Linked DNA regions of Schizosaccharomyces pombe. The protein of the gene in region 1 binds, or shares a complex with, the protein of each later gene. Each region holds a gene or a part of one and is shown in the gene's direction. Other genes may lie near its edges.

The links. The genes of interacting proteins can lie anywhere in the genome.
Region 2: mrpl37 (region 1) and mrp7 share a complex: the UniProt entries of both Schizosaccharomyces pombe proteins name them as parts of the mitochondrial large ribosomal subunit.
Region 3: mrpl37 (region 1) and mrpl20 share a complex: the UniProt entries of both Schizosaccharomyces pombe proteins name them as parts of the mitochondrial large ribosomal subunit.

The regions. Positions count from the first base shown.
Region 1 is NC_003421.2:1,252,322-1,260,073, forward strand, and holds mrpl37 (mitochondrial 54S ribosomal protein mL54), read left to right. Parts: upstream 1-1,996; 5' UTR 1,997-2,223; coding exon 2,224-2,643; 3' UTR 2,644-2,905; downstream 2,906-7,752. Other genes in the region: cca2 (ATP/CTP tRNA nucleotidyltransferase), read left to right, coding at 2,959-4,269, 4,329-4,472; protein mug117, read right to left, coding at 4,612-5,172; SPOM_SPCC645.12C (uncharacterized protein), read right to left, coding at 5,355-5,951; bye1 (transcription elongation regulator), read left to right, coding at 6,313-7,752. UniProt on the Schizosaccharomyces pombe protein: Component of the mitochondrial ribosome (mitoribosome), a dedicated translation machinery responsible for the synthesis of mitochondrial genome-encoded proteins, including at least some of the essential transmembrane subunits of the mitochondrial respiratory chain.
Region 2 is NC_003423.3:2,858,595-2,864,408, reverse strand, and holds mrp7 (mitochondrial 54S ribosomal protein bL27m), read left to right. Parts: upstream 1-1,648; 5' UTR 1,649-1,784; coding exon 1,785-2,246; 3' UTR 2,247-2,930; downstream 2,931-5,814. Other genes in the region: Lid2 complex histone demethylase subunit Lid2, read right to left, coding at 1-594; morphogenesis protein Mor2, read left to right, coding at 3,169-5,814. UniProt on the Schizosaccharomyces pombe protein: Component of the mitochondrial ribosome (mitoribosome), a dedicated translation machinery responsible for the synthesis of mitochondrial genome-encoded proteins, including at least some of the essential transmembrane subunits of the mitochondrial respiratory chain.
Region 3 is NC_003421.2:819,468-826,361, forward strand, and holds mrpl20 (mitochondrial 54S ribosomal protein mL58), read left to right. Parts: upstream 1-1,827; 5' UTR 1,828-2,176; coding exon 2,177-2,770; 3' UTR 2,771-4,010; downstream 4,011-6,894. Other genes in the region: telomere cap complex subunit Ten1, read right to left, coding at 382-690; SPOM_SPCC1393.12 (uncharacterized protein), read left to right, coding at 4,212-4,538; duf89 (cobalt/nickel-dependent phosphatase), read left to right, coding at 5,638-5,668, 5,776-6,894. UniProt on the Schizosaccharomyces pombe protein: Component of the mitochondrial ribosome (mitoribosome), a dedicated translation machinery responsible for the synthesis of mitochondrial genome-encoded proteins, including at least some of the essential transmembrane subunits of the mitochondrial respiratory chain.

The DNA.
Region 1 (7,752 bases):
TGTAAATATACTTATTTCTATTTTCGAATCCTAGCTCTGAACAAGTTCTTGTTCTTTGTGATAATTCCAACGTGTATTTAAAGCAGTATATAAAGGTCAAACACCATCAAATGAACAGTTTATCAAATCTCATGGAACCATTTATTAAACATTATACTTTTTGCTTAAATAAATATTCAAAGTGTTTTTTTTTTTTTTTTTTTTTTTTTTTTAATGCATATGGTAGGAATAGGCATTATTTATTAAATGGATTCGCAAATGGTTAATATTGTGCTAGGAGATATGTTGATTTCAATTGCAATATCTTTTACCTATATTTAAATGGCACTATGTAGAAAGCTGACAAGAGAATATTTTAACAAGCAATCCCGAATCATCAAAAATAAATTAAAATAATTTTAAAAAATAAAAAAAATAAATCGCAGAAGCACAAAGCATAATACTATTGATAAGTTCAATGTAATTTAATTTGGTTCATTACTATTTAAAACTAAATCCCCATCTTATAGTAATATAGAAATAAACAGAAAGTATATACAATTTCTCTACAGGATGAAAGAAAAAAAAACCCCCAGAAAATAAATGAGGGAAAAAAATAGGATATCAAATATTGATCGAGGAAATCACAAGCATTTCCTTCAGTGTAAGAAAAGCAAAATAGGGAAAATCGTAATTGTACATTGAAAGCATACATTTTTACAAAATTGTAAAATTTCTTTATTTAAATCGTTTCCAAAATGAACCGGAAATGTTATAAGCAAAAATATACTAAATAAATGAATTTAAAACTATTTCGGTACACTAAATAATCTCTTATAAATTTATTAAATTTAAATACATAATCTACTTAATACTAATCGTCTCAACGGAGGACAACGTGGCCGAGTGGTTTTAAGGCGTTCGCCTGCTATTCTGTAGCCCAGCGGATTCCCTTTGGGAGCGCAGGTTCGAATCCTGCCGTTGTCGGCATGATTTTTTTTATTTGTAAAATGAATATCGAAGAGCCTTAGAGAAATATGTTATAGGAATTTATCGAGGCAAATAATGAAATTCTAGTAAGAGAATAACCTGATGGTTAAAGCTTGTTTATTGATCTTCTTGCAGATTTTTTATTGTTTTCATGAGATGGATAATACTTTAAATGATTTATGTTCTATCTAAAGTAAAACTTGGCGAAATTTTAAGAAAACACCCATAAAGGTGTAACTATTAACTAAGAAGAGTTCGCAAGTCAGTGATTTATTTTTTTCAATTGTCCCGAGTGACTTAAGACACCGACTAGTACAATTTGTCAAATTTATTGTAAATCTATTTTTCTTTAACAAAAAGTGATTGCAAGCGCTTCTCGATCCTCAATGGATCAGTCGCTAACTGTGTGGAATAAGTACATTTCGCAAGTAAAAAAAATGGTAATTCTGACGTATCGAATGAAGGACATAACGTTAAACATAATTGAATACTAATTCTAAAATCTATATATGTTCTCTTTATTTAAACCGTACTACTAGATTGTTCCTCAATATCCCAAATAACACCTAATGGTTCTTTACCATTTACAACAATCAAGTGATTGTCGAAGAAACATTGCAAGTTGAGAAAAATGAATGAAGTAGAAATATTCTAATGTGCTAATGATTTATTGTAAAAATAAATCATATTATTTTATTTCTTTGACTTTCTTACATAGTCGAACACAGACAAATACAATTTTCGATTAACATTTCTAGAGTCTCACTTGATAGATTGTGCTTTACTTTATTTCATAAGTATTCCTATAGTACTCAAGCGTGCTTGGTATTATTATTGTAAACTTAATGACATTCTTGTTAGAACGACACCCCATTTGAACTTAGCAATAGTTTATAATTATGAAAAAAACAAAAACAAAAATTTTATTTTGATTCCCAAATTGTAAACAGACGCTTGAAACCCTTACATGTACCTGTGTCTGCTACCCATCTGTACATGAGTTGTATAGTAACGTCCAGGTTGTCCCATAACCAAACTCCTTGAACTTTGAAAGCGGCTCTTTATAGAGTCATTTTTTATTTCCTATAGTACTTGAAATAATATTATTCTCTAAAACTTTTCACTCAAAGAGCAGGACGTATTTGCTCCTTATATATGCGAAGGCGTTACTATTGACCTTTTTCATCGCCTTTGATCCACTTTTGGTTAAAGATTTTATCCTCCTTGCAAAGTTTTTTGTTTACTGTCTAAGCAATGCCATTTATCGAGTCAATGGCCCCTTTATCGCGCGCAATTACTCGCGGTATCTCTCAATTCTCATGCTACTCTAACACATTGGTTTTAAGAAGTTCCCGTAACTCTTCTTCATCATTAGTTAAACGAAGTTATGTATCCTCTCGTGTTTCACCCAAAAAGCCACAGCATAATTCGGATGCCACTTCTTCAGCTCAAAAAGTCGCTAATAAAACGCACACTAGTTCTGTCCTTCCAGGTACTATATTAAAGGGACTGTGTATAAAGGCGGGTGGCGTCGACCCTGTAGCTCGTGAAGATCATGAATATCCAGAATGGTTATGGTCTCTTCTGGATGAGCCAGCTCCCAATTCTAAGACTGCCCGAAGTCATGCTCGTAAAAGTGCCATTCGAGCGGCTAACTTTCTTACTAAAAAATAATTACCTTTTAGAATGTTTGAAACTCTTAATTTTCCATCTCCTCTCTATCCTTATGAGCATTTGATCCATTCTTTTTGTTTACTTTTTTTGAGGCATATGACATTCGCTACTTTACCATTTCCCAGAATCCAAAAATCATTTTAAAATAAAAATATATTAAATAACCTTATATCAGTGATATACATTTGTAGCATAAAAAAAATTACTACTACATGTCCTTCTTTAAGAGAAGCATATTCAAACCTCAACCTGCCAACCTTAGAGAAACCGGTATTGCCCAAACTGTGTATCGTTTATGGAATTTGGCTGACGAAAATGTATTCTAGAATTGTATTGAACGATGTTGAGAAAAAAGTTGTTAATCTTTTGAAAAAGACTGCTGATTTTATTGAATCTAAATCCAGCAGCAGTTCGTCATTGGAAGTTAGATTGGCAGGAGGATGGGTTCGCGATAAACTTCTTGGGCTTTCTAGTGACGATTTAGACGTTACGTTGAATAAAGTTACCGGTGTTGACTTTGCAAATTCAATATTTGAGTATGTTCACTCTCTCGACTCTGACTCAGTTATTCCATATAAAGACGCACTTGGCAAGCTAACTGTCAATCCCGATCAAAGCAAGCATTTAGAAACTGCTACCTTATCCCTATTTGACCTTGATATTGATTTTGTAGGACTTCGTGCAGAATCATATGATGATAAAAGTCGAATTCCTAGCGTTACCCCAGGAACTGTTGAAACAGATGCATTGAGAAGAGACTTCACGGTTAACACCCTATTCTTTAACATACGAACAGAAAAAATAGAGGACATTACAAAGCGAGGATATAAAGATTTGCAAACCAAAGTGTTGGTCACGCCCATTTCACCTCTCCAATCATTTTTGGAAGATCCCTTACGAATTTTGAGAGGCATTCGGTTTGCATCCAGATTTGAATTTACAATTGATCCGTCGGTCGTTTCCGCTATCCAAGATCCGAAAGTATGTAAAGCTTTTGAAAAAAAGGTTAGCAAGGAACGTGTAGGAGAGGAAATTGAGAAAATGTTGAAGGGTGCAAACGCGAAGCTAGCACTTCAACTGTTATATTCAACGAACACGTATCAGTTTACGTTCGATACTTTGCCAGCTGAAAAAGAATTTCAAATTCCAAAGGCATTGGAAGCTACCGAGTCTTTATTTCAGAGTCTTGCATTGACGTTTCCTAAACTTATGAAATTAAGTGAAGATGAGAAAATTGGGCTATGGCTATATGTTGCTCTAATTCCATGGTCTAGTCAAACTGTTATGGTTAAGAAAAAACAATTTTATATTCCTGCAATCATCGCAAAAGACAAGTTGAAGCTCAGAAGTACATATGTTAACCAGTTGAATCAGTGCTGCACATTCAATCCGATATTCGATGAATTAGTTAACGATACTTCCACTAAAAATTGCTCATCTATTGGCAGCTTAATACGACAATTGAATAAATCCTGGGAAGTCGTGTTTTTAACATCGGTCATATATAGTTGTTGTAAAACACCGGCAGCATCTGTATCAAATACATTTAGTTCTTATAAATCTCTATATGACTTTATTTATGACAAAAATTTACAAAATGCTTATAACATGAAGCCATTATTAGACGTATGTAATTCTTTTATTTCTGTTAACAATATTGAGCGAATAAGCTAACAATTTTTTAGGGAAAACAGATCATGAAAAATGTGGGAGTTAAGCCTGGCCCGCAGCTGAAAGAGACTATGGATAACATGATTTCCTGGCAATTTAAACACCCTGAAGGAAGTGTCGAAGATTGTGTTGCATACCTTCAATCCCTAAAAATATAAGAAAAGACAATCACTGTTTAGATAACTTAATCGCACAAAAGATTAAAAGAATAAAAGTCACCAGTAATCGTCGTCCTTTTTGGAAATTCGTATTTATGATATTTATGCTTAATTCAGAATGGATCCTTTCCTCTTATTATTACCAATCTCTAACCGGCTCTCGATAATCGTATTCGCTGGTGCTTGGTGTAATTTCGGTACAGTCTGGATAACAGTAGTTCAATTTGACATAGCATCTTGTGTTTTCATTATCATTATTAAAAAAACGAGTTCCACAAGCGGAACATTGCAAATTTAATTGATCAAATTCATCAATGATTTCGTTGCCTGTGCGTGCTGGATAATCACCTTCGCACTCATAAATGGCAGTGCAAGAACTAGCTGTATAAGAAGAATATCCATGGTAGATCAAGGATCTATTATACTTCATGTACGCGTTCGGACACGCACGATTTTCTCCTCGAAGCATAGGGCAAAGAAATGAGCCCTTACAGTTATTAGGATGAACCGAATTATCATATCCAAGCATGTTAAATAAACTTCTTCGATAGTTTGAAGTAATTCGAGAGCCTTTTGCTTCTGGCTCAAAGACAGTACTAAGATCACTTCTAATTGGGACTGCAATGCATATGTAAATGCAGATTCCGTATATGAATAGGAACAAAGTTAATTTCTCTGTTACACAACAAAATTTCCACATTCCTTCCGAAATATTAATATATATTAAATATGCAAAAGTGTTTAAAGCAATGCTTCTTATTTGCAATTATTCTTAATTAATTAATATTTTTCTTTTGGTTAAGGAAAGAATATGTAATATAAACAGTATTCTTTTAGTTGGTGTCAATATTTTTGTTTGTTTTTAAGATCGTAAACAGAGCTTTACAAACCCCAAAGCAAGGTGTCTTCATCTAGTGAAGCATCCGAGTCATTATTAGATAAATTGCTAGATTCTTTAACAGAAAAGTTATTTTTTTTAGTTTCAAACCTTTTTTGTTTCAAACGACGGATAAGATCCCTCGACTCACCCAATTTGCTTTCTTCTTCATAAAGAATATCATAAACTTCTGGTTCTAAATCATTATCTGCAATTTCATTTTCTTCATCCTTTTCGGCCAATAACTGTTGCTGTTGGAGTGTTATTTCTTGTTCAACAGCATTTTCCTCAATAATGCCAATCTCATTTTGAAAATCGTTCCACTCTTCTTCAATTAGTTCTTTATTTTTAGCAATAGATTCATCAAAAAAGTTTTCTGGAAGTGCGGACACCGCTCGTGTATCCTTAGGAGGTTCTGTAGATTGCTTTTCATTAAAATCACTTACTGCCAGCTCACGAGATTGATCACGACCTAAATTTTCAAATGATTTATGATCTCTCGTCTTCTGACGCTTCAGTTCTTGACTAGAGGCTTTCAGACCTCGCTTTTGCCCTAATCGCTCTTGTTTTACTTTCCTCAGTAACTCTCGTGCACTACTCATATTTTTGAAGCTCCTTTTCTAACAATATTCACATTTAATCGTAAAATATTGCATTCGAACTATAAAATAGCATGTATCCTTAGTTTTCGCAGATTTTGCACCTTTGCTATAACAAACTACAACACTGCTGCCACTTGCCAATAACCCATACCTGCCAACACCTTGTTTTTTAGAACTCTTGACGAGCTTTTGTGAGGATATTAAACACTTCAGGAACGACTTTTGTTTAGTTATGCATATATTTTAATCTCCTCAGTTTATTTAGTACGCATTCAATCACTTGTTATTCGAATTGCATGTATTAACCTTGAAGTACAGATGTCATTGATCAAAATACTTTTTATTCCCATAATAACGAAGCATGGTAAGAAAAAGCACTAGAAGGACGGCAAAAGCCTCAGAAAAACCTCCTGAAACTGTTGTTCGGTGTGTTTGTAAATCGCAAGAAGACATTGGCGATACGTGGGTTCAATGTGATGGGTGTGATTGCTGGCAACATGCCAGTTGCGTTGGATTAGCGGATAAGGATATACCTGAAAGCTACTATTGTGAAGTTTGTCATTCGCGAAGCGACGTTTCATCACAAGTACAAAATTCTCCCAATAAGGATGAAGAGCATCAGACAGCTGATTTACTTGCCTCTAATGAAGGGAACGAGAAAAACAATGAAGAAAATAATGTTGTATCTTCTGATTCAAAAGAGGCGATTACTAAAGAGTCAGGCGCTGAACTAGAATCATCCGAGCCTGCTTCGACAAATTCTAATGTTGGAATGACTACTAGGTCTGGTCGACAATCTCCTAGGACTCCTATTGGCTCCACGACACCAAAAAGTTCTCATTCTCCACCTTCAACTCGAAAACGAAGAGGCAGTGTTGGTACGACGGCTACTCATACCAAACGTAGCAAGAATGCACCAAAAACATCTCCTAAGGATGCTTCCAATGAAACTGCAGATCAGGAAAAGGAGCTTAGTTTACACACTTCTATCGATGAAATTCAAAACCCTGTTAGAAAAAGTGTTGCCAAAGCCTGGGTTTCCGTTTTTGAAAAAATCATTGAGAAAGCAAAACTTGAAGGTGTGCAAGGATTAGAAGACCTTAATTCTACATCCTTAGCGCTTCAGCTTGAGCATATTATGTTTATGGTGCTTTCGTATACAACTGATCATTCGTTAACTCCGAACAACAAATATCGAGAGAAGTTTCGTGCTTTACGATTCAACTTGGTTGATGACAAAAACCCGGCATTTCGAGCGCGCGTGTTAAAAAATGAAATTAGTTTTAACGATCTGGTCAACTTATCCAGTGAAGAAATGGCTAATCCTGACTTGAAGAACCTAGCTGAGGAAATTCGTCAACAAAGTACTGAAAACACAGTCATAAAGCAACATTTGATTGCTCCACGAGATCGTTTACTTGATGAAGATAAACTTACACAACAAGATGAACTTGGTATTGCGGAAAACGATGATGCGATGTTTCCCAAACCTCCTGGAGAGCTTGTAGCTCCAATTTCAATTGCAGAAGAAGAGCCCACAATTGATTCCAAAAGTCCTACTTTACCGGAACATAATCCTCTTTCTGAAGACGATACATCTAATGGTGATAAAGCTGCAAAAAGAAAAGGGAGTTTTAACGACACAAAACCGATAGTCAATGTCCCTTCCATCGTGGAAATAGATGATCCTACTATACTTGACATTGTAGAAGAGGAGCCTCTTGCGAGGAACGATTCATTTTCTTCTCCGTATTCGCCTGCTGAAGATATGGCTGAGGAGTCTGAGTTTTTTGGCATGAAA
Region 2 (5,814 bases), on another chromosome or scaffold:
ACGAGTGAGAACCTGCCTCACTTCTTTAGTATCTTCAAGACGCAAATAGATTATGACTTTATGTAAAATTTCATTATTTAATGAAGAGCCGGAATTAGTAAACTTTGAGATTGCATTACGCAAACGCAAAAAATCAACTGGGCGATTCCCGATAATCGGTGGGTGATAAAAATATAAACCGCGACTTTCATGAAATGCTTTAAGTTTCTTAAAATAATCATAATTTTTTTCATAATTGAGACAACCTTTATTTAAACATTGGCGTTTTGACTGAAACTCAAAAGCGCCTTGATCAAGAACAACAGGTATTTGCCATCCCTCAGGTGGCAGAAGCTTAATTGCTCCATTTTTGAAAATTGTATGCCAATTATCTAACAAAAATTTAAAGGGATCAGTCATGTTCGAAGCATTCAACTGCACTGACAGTCCAGTTGAAAGTCCAAATGGCCTATTTGACGCGCGATAATTTTTGTCATTATGGTCACAATCAAATTTCAGATATGGTAATGAAAAGTTATCTCCTAGCTTTCTTATTTTCTTCTCTCTTCCTGATCCCATAGAATTATGTTCGTGCCACAAAAGCTGGCATATCATGGAAAACGGAAAAGTGCATAATCAATATACATGGAGAAATATTTAGAAATGCAACACCACCCTGTTTTAAAAATATATACCAAAAAATTTTACAACTTTTAAAAAATATTCTAATAAATTACATAAAATAAAAAACGCGTACATTGATGTATTTATCGTCGATAACACACCGTTATGGGATCGACACGACAGTATTAGGTGGAAGTAGTAGCTTAAAGCTTCAGATCGACATTAACGTAGGTACAGCTAAGCAAAACGTACTTTAATTAGTACTCCCTGTCGTGCTATGGCTGGAAGATCCACGAGAAAAAGATTTTATGCCAATTTTAAAAGTTTTTAACCTAAGGAAGTTTCCGAGTATAATCAAATCCAGTTAAAGCTTGACAATATCCTGATACATTATCCTGCGAACTAAGGCAGCACATATACTGTATAACTTGAAGCATATCGCTGTCAAGGTAGAATTTATGGTTTCTTCACAAGAAAATGAAATTTGCTGGTTCCTGCCACCAACTAGTAACACGAAGCACATCCGTTTTTATTCATAAATTTTTGCTTTGAGGAACAAAACAGTTGAAATTGCATTAAGACATCAATTAGTAGCACAGAAAAATCTATTATATGTGATTCCAGCTGCATACTTTAAAAGTTCAAGTAAAATTGAATATCATTGAGTAATAAAGACAATACAATAAAGGCTAAAACTTTGAAAAAGTTATATTTCTTTCATGCAGTCATTAATGCTGTTTGAATTGAAGAGCCAAGTGAATTTTCCATGATTAAAAAGAAGGATAGAAATTGTCGACGTAAATTTAGTGTCTTTTACTTTTTTTTTCATTAGCGATCATGCTTCCAATATAAACAAAGTAAATTGTAGGTAATGGTACTCTTTTAGCGAGATATTAGGAGTAAGGAATTTCAAACAGAAAATGTAAGGCTACACTATTGTAAAATAAGAATATTTTATACGATTACCACGACTCGTAAATTGGGATAAAGGAAATGTAAGGTAGAAACTTTCGAAGATTGGTTACAACGAATCCATCCTTTTAGTATAAACCAATATTTCGACGAAGATATAATTTTTTTAATATTTAGTATCCTTCTACATTACTAATTATTTGCCAAATCAGTTTAACACATTTTTCTTTTACAATACGTACTTCATTTGATGCAAAGTTCACCGTGCAATGATCAATCAAGGGCTTTTTATTCGTGTTAACAATTTTCAATTACTTAAAGCTAGTTTAGCTTATAAGAAAGCATCAAATATTCTCACTTTCCCTCCTATTCGTACTTCTACTAAACATGGCGGTGGTTCATCGAAAAACACAGGTGATTCTGCTGGTCGTCGTCTCGGCATAAAAAGGTCTGAAAACCAATTCGTTAGGGCTGGTGAGATCCTAATTCGACAACGTGGTACAAAATTTCATCCCGGAGATAATACCGGTCTAGGTAAAGATCACACAATATATTCTCTTGTTTCCGGATATGTTAAGTTTTTTCAAATGGATGTGTCTCTTCGCAAACGGAGGAAATACGTCGGTGTTGTTTTTGACAAAGAGACAACGTTACCAAGGCCCAAAGATGAACCTACAATTCGCCGTGTCAATAAGTATATAACTTCTGCTAATTCTGCTCAAGTTTCATGAAACCATGCGGAAACTCTCATCATCATACCTGCAATGCTCACTATTTAGAGATACTTCAAAAGGATATACTAATAATTACATGCATCAATGCCTTTGGATTTCCTTCAACTTAAGGTTGCACGAAATAACATTTTCTTCTTTTTATTATTTATTTAAACTCCCGTCACGGTCATCGTAGTTTATTACTGTCTAATGCTCAAAAATGTGAATGCATGATTAAATTTATAACTTATTTTGTTACTTTGTCTTGGGCGTATACAAGTTTGCGTATATGTCTTTCTTTTTCTACTGATTTATGCTTCTATTTTTTTCCACGCGAATAATTTGATAATTAAGCATTGTATATGTTGTTCTTAAACTTTCAAGTTTTTTCAACAAATATTTATAATTCGTTTCCAAAAAGTTAGCGTGTAAAAATCGCATTTGCCACGGTTTAAAAATCATTAAAAAAAACTGAACTTGTACCATATTATCTTTTCTGACATAGAATTCAGAAAGTTTTGACCAAACATACAGAAGGTTATTCTTTTTTTACATTTCATTTAAAAATTATTTTGGGCATTTTGAAGTTAGACTTTTAAGTATATCACCTACTATATAGTACCACACCTACTACAACGCAGTGCGTTATATTCCTTTATGTGCAAAAATTGTTGCAGTGTGCTGAGAGGTTTTATTGTTCGGAGTGCTAGCCATTACAAACTTCTAGTTTTGAATCCATTCACGCCTAAATTTTAACAATCGATTGCTAGTCAATTTGCTTACGCATGCTTAAATATAAAAACTAACGAGATAGCTTTTTTATACACTTTTTTCTTCACTTTTCTGTAGGCTAGCGGTATTGCTCTCAAACCCTTACTTTGCATACTCCTTTTCTTTGAAGTTCGTCTATTTAGTAGATAACCATATAATGCCAACCTGAATGAGCTTGAATGAAATTGCTCACGATCAACCTGTCGAAAATGGTCCTTTGTATTCTGAGAAGCAGGACCATACGGCAGTTGATTACGCGCTTCACATACTTTTCACCCAGTTTGTTCGACTCTCTGAACAAAAAATATCATTTCTTTCTCGTTATCATGCCAACGAAGGTAAGAATGCTGAACCTGTACGATTCAACGTTGGAGAGCAAGAAGCTATCCTCCTTCTTAAAAAGGGGGAAGATAATGAATTTGACAGATGTATTCAAGCTCTTGTAGCTTTAGCTAGTAGCAAACCGGTTGCCGTCATTGAATCCCTATTGTGTTGGAGAAAAGTTCGTGTTGATATTACAAGTTCAAGTGGTACTCCTCGGGTTGTTAATGAGCGGAGGAGTTCTATTTCTATCTATATACTTTGCCGTGTCTTGACTGAGATTGCTGAAACGATACCGTCAAATGCCTTAGAAGAAAGCACTGTATCTTGTTTATTAGAATGCGTTTTTCATCAGCTACTAAGCGCTAAAAATTTACCAGTTTCGTCATCCTATTTCAGTCTTGCTAATTGGGAAAGTTTTGCATTCCTTGTGGGAAGTATGTCTCGATTTAACTTCGTCATGGTATCAGATCGTTTTATTGAAGAGATTGAGCATTTGGAAAAGTCTGGCTGTGATTCCAGGCAAAAAGAAACGGTTCTTGTCCATCTCCTTAGAGCAATGCGTTATTTGCGTTTGCAGCTTTATCCAACAACTCTTTTAGAAGAGTCAATTGCTTTTTTGCAATCATTGACTTCCTTTTTCATGAAAGCCAACACAGCCTTGAAAATCGAATATGCATATCTTATGGAACAGTTGCTTCGACCATTAATCAGTCGAGCTACATTTGAGGTGAATATTCCTGCGTGGTCGCGCACCATTGAAACAATATATCCTGTAGTACTGAAAATGTGTACGAAAACTAAATACTGGAATGTTTTTTTCCCTTTTTGTTGTACACTTCTATGTCTTTCTCCCAAACAGTTCTTCCTTAAGCATTGGATATCCTCCCTTGATGCTGCTTTTTTTCGTGTTAAAGACAGACGATTAAGGAACACCGGTCTACCCCATCTTTCTCGTGTTGTATGGACTTACTCTAATCAGTATAAGGAAGAACCTTCCATAATGAATTCTAATATTTCTAATATTTTGAAATCGGGATTTTCGATTGGCAAAAAGTTTAGCGTGGTTCCATTCGCCACTTTAGAAGAATTGGATGGTTATGCACAAATTGTGCGTGTAGTCGGTGCTCATTTTCCAGAGCTTGTCATCAAAGAGATTTTAACACCTTTGTCTACTGATGCTTTTACCGAGAATATTGGCCCTGAGAAATTAATGATTGTTGTTCGGTCTGTTTATTACATTCTGCACGACATGAAGTACAAAAAATCGGATAGTACTATATTCGAATATATTGAATTTGAGTTCGTTGATTTACATGAAGTTGCCGTCGGAACTCCATTACAACAATTTGTTCATAATCTTTCGCAAAAGCTTCTATTCCTCGTTTTTCAGCTCTCCACTAATACCAACTGTTACCTTGATTCAAAAAATGCAACCAGTTTGCTTGCTTTGTACATTAATGCACTCAAAGTGTTTCCTTGTCTCATGGGAAAATTAGAACAACGTGTAATTGATGCATATGTTAAGTGTTTGAATTGTTCAAACAAAATAATCCATACTGTTTGTCATAACTCTTTGATATACTTTTCTTCTGGGCTTAAAATGTCGAAGTCAGTGATATCTTGTCTTTCTCGGAAATTGGTTAAGGGTTCAGAGTACTTGTTACGAACTTACCATGAAGTTATTAGAATTTGGATCAGTCAGCAAGAAGCAGTTATTGAAAAAAGGAATTCTGTCCTTAGTAATAAATCGTGTGCAAGTTCTGAAAGCAATACTCCTGCCTCTGTAAAACAAGATTATGATGACATTCAAAGTTGGACGATAATTGAAGAAATTCAATCACTTGGTGTACTTCATTTATCTTCACCATCAGTTGGAATCCGTAAGTTTGCAGTGGCTTTGCTTAATGATGTTAAGCAATTAAATACGGAGTATTTGATGCTTTCTTCAGATAAAGTTGAAGTTGGTGACATATATTCTGAACCGACAATTGTCGATGTTCTGAAAGATTGCGATTCTTCAATTTTGAGTGTCGAAAGTCACTTACCGACTGCTGCTGAAAGGTCACGATTGCGCAAGTTTATCAACGATGGAACCAAGGATATGCTTTTGAAACTAGCTACGTCAAACAGCGGCGTTGACATTTCAATATGGTACAATGTATTTCCTCGCTTTATAAAGGTTTGTTTTGAAAGATTTCCTACCACTATGGCATTGCTTAGAAATACTGTTTGTGAGAAACTTCCGAGTATTACTATGCAATTATTATCGCGTATTGAATCTTCGGAATTAAACTTTAACTTGAAGTCTGCTGTAAAAAATGATAATTTTCCTGAGTTTTTATTAGTTCAGTGGAAGCTGTACCTTATTGTTGCATGTTGTACAATTACATACACTTCTAACGTGGATTATTCGCACACTGACCTTAGGAGGACACTTACTGCTGTTCAATCTGGAAACCATTTACGTGGTTTACAGGAAACCATAAAGATA
Region 3 (6,894 bases), 430 kb from region 1:
TTTGATGAATGTTGAAGCCACATATTACATGTCCATGTTGGAAAGACAAAACAAATTCTGGTAATTTGTCTTAAGTTTTTACAAAGTAATAAAAGTTTCAACAAAAATAAATAGATGCCACAAGGTAACGCTTATCTTTGTTAGTTAAACATTCAAATTAGAGTATATAGCAATTTGAACAGATGTAATTCGTTCCTTTTTTTTTTTAACCATGATTGTTTGTTTTCGACTTTGAACCTGGAGGTTAATAAATATTTATTATTATAAAGACTGACATTAACACGATTCAGTACCTTTATGGTATCTTAAGGTGATCACTTTCTATATATTTTTAAATGAGTTTGTAATGACATGGTGCAACAGAACTACATAAGATATTCATCAATCACATTTTTGACGTTCAGAAACCATTTGTCGATATCTCGGAAGATTAATTCCAACAGCAGATCGTATTAACAAGACATCCACAATACCATCCTGCCGCTTTCTCCCAACAATGTTGAGCCACTCATGCTTTTGAATAGATACATCAGGTAAAACTACTGTAACATCACAAGTCACGCTGCTTGATCCATCAATCAACCGTAGAATGCCATTCTTATATGATTGCACGCATCCTAAAAATCGAAGTTTTTGGCCGTCCTTACAATCGTTAATTTGATTAATGAAGATAAGTTTAGCACTATCCATCAGCTGCTAAATATATTGTAAAAAGGAGAACAAGGAAAGATGAGGGAAGGTGGTATAGTTTGTGTTTGGAAACTGGGTAATCGATTGAAATATGAATTTCGTAAATGAGCGACTTAAGATCGCAGCTTTAATTAAGAAAACGTAGTTTGACTTTTTCAAAAGGAAAAATTTGCATTAATCCTTAAAATGTGCAGAAAGACTACACTCTCGTTTGCAATAGTAAAAGCAAAATCTAATAATCGTATAGTACTATCAGTGAGGCATATTAGATTGATAAATAGACCAACATTTCCATTATTATTATTTATGAATTGGTTTACTTGAGCAACTCCACAAAAAACGCAAGCATGGTTCTTTTGATTAGTTTTTATAAATTAAGTCAGATGGAATATAAAAAGAGAAAAATAAATGCTTTGGCCGGGAATCGAACCCGGGTCGAATCGATGGCAACGATTCATTATACCACTAAACCACCAAAGCTTCTTGAAATATCTTGTAAACTTGTATAATATAAGTAGCTATTAACGATAACGATAATTATTTATTATACCATTATAATATTGATTAAAATCAAGCAGAGAATTGGAAACATGTTCTGATGTAGTTGTTTAAGGCCTTATAAGAAATCAATAGTTCTTGTAATAAATTCCGATTTTAGTTATAGGGCCAATGCGGCTAATATTCACTTGATAAATTGAAGCTGACTGTAAACAAAAGGTTACCCCTTACTTAACCATTTGATATTATAATTTACATTGCAAAAAATTTGGGTCAGTTTGAAAAGGTGTGTACATTTCCTAAAAATCTATGGAAAATTGAAAAAAATAAAATAAATTTAATTTAATATTTAAAATATCATGCTTCCAGTATTCAATATAATCGGTATTTAAATTGAACCATGAACAGATTAGAAATGGTTTAAAAAAAAAACAGCAAAACAAAATTGTATTGAATTTATCCTACAATCAAAATGCCGTTAACAATATTTTTTAGCTTGAATCTTCCGATTTCTCTTAATAAACCGTCAAAGTGCCAAAAACCAGTTTTAATATAACGAATTATATAATATACATTTAAGGTGCCATAAACACACTGCATTATACGTATTGAAACTAAGAGTGTGGATACTGTGCATATAGAGACTGCTAAACTCCAGGAAACCCGCATTTGGAGAGTAATTTCGTGTTTTTACTCGGAAAATTGCAAGCCTTAATACGATTCTTGTAAATTCAAAAGTTAGAACTCTTCCAAGTGATTTTTTGCGTGTTTTTTTGCTGTTTATTTTTTTTTTGCATTGAGCTCTTTTGTCACGTCGTTGCTATAGCTTTTAGGCTTTGAGAATCTTCGTTATAACTAATATTATTTGAAGTGTGGGTTTATCCAAAAGGCCCTTTACAGTTTTTTGTGTTATAACCTTTTCTCAAAAAAATTTAAAGCATCATTTCTAAAGCGACACCAAAATTAAAATAGTTGAAAGAGTAAAAACATGTTGTTTACAATCAAACCTTCATTTTTGAAGCCTGTAGGCTTCATTCAGACTCGGAATTTGAACCGGCTATACCCTAAACAACGTATTCCTAAGCGACCTAAAATTCCTATGGGTTCCAAAATAGCAGAGGTAACTGAAACTACATCTGCTTATTACAATCCACCAGCGTCTTCTCCAGATGTTAGGATTACTCCTCCTGTTTTTCGCTATGATGCACCTCCAATTCATCAGCGTGATACCTCACTTTCCAAAGAGTCAATGTTTCTCCCGCCGGCAGTTAGCCGAAAATCGAAAAGCAAAGGAAAGTTGAGGTTTTCTACTCATCAACTGAGTAGTGAAGATATCAAATCCATCCAAGACTTGAGGACGAAAGATCCGAATGCTTGGACAACTGGAACACTGTCTAAAAAGTTTAACACAACTCGGTTACTAATTTCACGAGTTTGTGAAGCTCCCAAAGAAAGGATTCAAAAAGTTGAAGAAAATTTTGAGGCTGAAAAACTTGCCTGGGGATCAAAGAAGCGTGAAATTCGCCGACAACGTGCATCTCGTCAAGCATTCCGTACATTGGAACGAGTAGCACAGGTTTAAAATAATTTAATAGTTTTTGGGATTCTAAAACTCTGGTTTTCAATAAAGCTCTGATGCACATGCGGAAGCGTTTTTGACTGCATTATTTAATGTTTCAATCACGTTACAAAATACTCGAGTGATTTGAAAGTTCCTTGGAAAATAATATTAGTTTTGAAGCTTTTCAAAAAAAACAGACATCTTCATTCTTCTTTATTTCTTAATTTACAAAGGCTCTCTGGCATTTTACGAATTATCCTTTACATTTCTATCAACATTTACGCACATTGGTCTGCATATCGCGAATTTTTGTCGCAACCTTTAAAATGTTATTATACAGGCACGAACTTGTTTTACATTTTTACCTCTCCCTTCTCATGTACATATTTCCTTTTTGGAACAAATGAGGAAATTTTTCATTTCAGCTTAGTAGGCTCGGAAATCCTCAATCATAGAGTATGTTGCTTTTGTAACACTCAAGCCAGTTTTTTTTTTTTTTTGGTTTTATCTTTTAACTATTACTGAGAATATACAATGGTGTACATAATTAATTGGGTCAGCGAGCAGTAAAAAAACATCTTTATTTCCTCTTGTACAGAGAGCCCTTTCGTTCAAACCTCAAGTGGTGAAAATAAAGATATTTTTTCGGCTTTTAAGCAGTTGCTATTTAAGATTTCCAATCGACATCAACCGTTTATAAACACTCACGAGATACTTACTTTTGCAAGTTTCCTCACCAGCCATCATCCATCCATCTCCTTAGGACAATTTGCATTCTACGGATTTCATTAATACATCCATCTCTAGCTACTATTTACTTATATTAAAGCTTTGTTTCGCCGTTTTCTACTTTTTTGAAGCTTGTGTGACTATACGTGCTCTTCTTTGTTGGCCCAATTTTCCAACGATCGTCTAAAGAAACATGCGACCTAGTTGAGGAATTTTGCTTTAAGACATTGTTTTTACAGACTCTAACAAGCTTAATTTGTATGGTGGACACAGCTTTGTTGTAATACTGCATACTGCGATTCTCAAATCCTACACTCCTCTCTCCTCTTCTCTCCTTGTTACTTAGTACCTCGAGAAGTTTTGGGGTGACATCAGTCAGACACAAGAATTATATGATGGGTGGGTGGGTTAATACGTATATGAATGATCTCATTTACGTTGCCGTATTGTGCTACTAAAAGTGTTATATATAGAGCAGTGGGAAGTAGAAGTGAGCACTCTTATTAACGATAAAGTTGTGAGTTGAACAAAAGCGACTTACTACTTTGAAATATTGTTTTACTTTACAATTGAACATTTACTAGTGTTCAGGAAAAATCTAATTTTTTTTCGTGCGCTCGATTGAATATTATATCAATCCTTTGTGTTGTACGGAGAAAACCGCTTTTATATAACCTTTCGATTTATTAATTTTTTTTTACTCGGTTAATTCACGAAATCCTAATCGAGCATCATGAATAGGCGTGTTACTCTTGGAGCCTTGGCCGCTGCTGTTGGTGTTGGTTATTATATGACTCGCCATAATCGTCAGGCATCTTCCAGATTGGAACAGAAGAATGCAGAAATCGTCAGAGCCGTGGAAAATGAGGGTCAACGATTTGACAAAGCTGTTGGCGAAACCACTGAAAAGGCAAAATCTTATCTCCAAAGTGGGAAGGAGAGGGTTGTCGATGAACTCGACAAACCTCGTGAAAACGTAAAAAATGTGTTGTCAGAGGCGCAAGCCAAGGGTACTGAACAAGCAGAAGCCCTTAAAAAGGGTACCTCAAAATGGTTTTAAATTGGAAATCCCCAATTCTCGCCATTTAGGGTTATGTGGCAATACTTTGAAAAAATACACACAGGGTTTGTTGTGTATTTGAAAACGTAAAGTGCCTAGCATTGGCTCGTTCTATACCTGCTATCCATTAAGTGTTCTTGTTAATTGTTCCAAACGTATTGCCAAACATTCCGGATCACATCTCGGCAAAGTCGGAGAGATTAAACGTTGTTAACGTTATTCTTTTTTATGTTATTATTAGTTTCTTCTCTCATAAACCAACTGAACCCAAATGATTAGCGATGACAAACAAACGACGATTCCATGGGTTGTCAAAAACACCCTCATAGAAGTTTGCTTTTTTTTGTACAGATAAAAGCGAATTTTTAATTGAAATAATGTTTTTCATGAACGCATAAATGAATGATTGAAATTTTTACATGCATGATTTTCCATTATAGACTGTAAAATGATATTTAAAGTAAGCGATGTGGACTAAGAGTAGTGATAATGCATATGAATACATGCATAGTTTGGATATTATAGGTTTTTCCTAGTTTCCATTATTAAAAAAATAAAAGATTGAAAGGAGTGTTTTGCTTTAATCTGCTCTAGTAGACAGAGTCAAAATTGATATATTTAATAATATTCAAGATGAAGAGATAGAACTCATCAAGTTCGCTTAGATATAACCTTAGCTTACGCGAAAGATGAGAATACTGTAATGCATAGTTTTTTGTTAATTTGAGACAACGAGAGGTATGGAAAATGCCCCTCAGGTGAATTCTCTAAATAAGCTAAAAAGTCAAACGCAAAAAAATGCATTATGCCGGTTTATAGAAGATAAACTTTTTTTTGCTGACAAATATTACGATGGAATTGTCGTTTTGACATTTCTTAGCCGTCGTACCTAATGCTTCTGACTGCTAATCAAGCTCTAAAAAAGCGCAGTTCGTTATACTTCTCTATCCCGTTTTCACCTTCATGACAAGTCCTGCGTATGTATGCATTCTACCATCTTCCATTATTCGCACTTGGGCGTACTCAGCTAAGCTGGTTTTGGCGTATTCATAAACGTGTCTATCCTTCAACAGGAAAATAGGTACCTGAAGAAAATAAGATGGGTCTCAAATTACTTCATCCTCCTAAACGTATGTAACGGTTTAGCTAGACATATAAACAAACTTGAGGATTCTTAGTTGGATGCTCGAGCATCGTATAGGTAGATTAAAACCGCAAAATAACTAACTTTATACAGCTTATGCGATGACCAGTGACCCTGAGTCGTATGCTTCGGTATGTGTCATGAAAAAATGGCCTATTATAGCTACGAATGTGATTGACGAGGTTTCTCGAAACATATCAAAGGCATTGGAGGCGGGAATGTCCGATAAAGCTGCTTATGTTACTCAAGGAAAGGAAATAATCAGCCTTCTTAATCAACTCAAATATGATCTTCAACACAATCGCCCTCTGAAGCCGCTTGTCGGTCAAGGGCCTGATATTGATGACTATAATGAGGAGTTGGAACAAGTTGGTCCATTGACTTGGGGCGATGCTCCCTGGCTTTATGCTGGATGCTATTTTTATCGTATCATGAGTCTTTTCTTTCAAGCCCGTTCTGAGTGGAATCGCCATGACCCCTTCTTTGAACAAAAGGACTTCACATTACGTTCTAGCAAGTCGGCCATTGAAGAATTTGCCAAAAGATATGTACACCTGAACAGTGAACTTGCTTCTATTCAAGAAAACAAGGATGACAAGGCTGCATACATGATTTTTGTAGAAATGGCGGAAATTTCACTTTGGGGCAACGCCATTGATCTGGGACTCTTAGTAAATGCTACCTACGAACAATTACAAAGCCTTCAGGGGCAAAAAGCTGTTGAGGAATCCCAGAAAAACATTTTAGTGAATGATTTCCCCAAAATTTGGTCGAAACTTTCAAAAGTTCGTCATGGTCGCATCGATTTTGTTCTTGATAATGCGGGATTTGAACTTTTCGTTGATCTTTTATTCGCTACTTATCTTTTGAAAACAGAAATAGCGGAAACAATTATTTTACATCCGAAGGATGTACCCTGGTTTGTTTCCGATGTCTTAGTCAACGACATCCCCCATTTATTTAACAGCTTAACTTCTTATTTTTCAGGCGAAGGTGTCCAAAAATTAGCCTCTGATCTTGCGGAGTTTCATGCGGAAGGAAAAATTGTAATTCGACCCAATCCTTTTTGGACTACTGCTCATTATTTTGGACGGCTACCTGATGTTGCTCCTAAACTTTTATCTGACTTAGAACAATCAGATATGGTCATCTTTAAAGGAGATTTGAATTTTCGCAAGCTCACCGGCGATTGTGAGTGGCCTCATACAACAC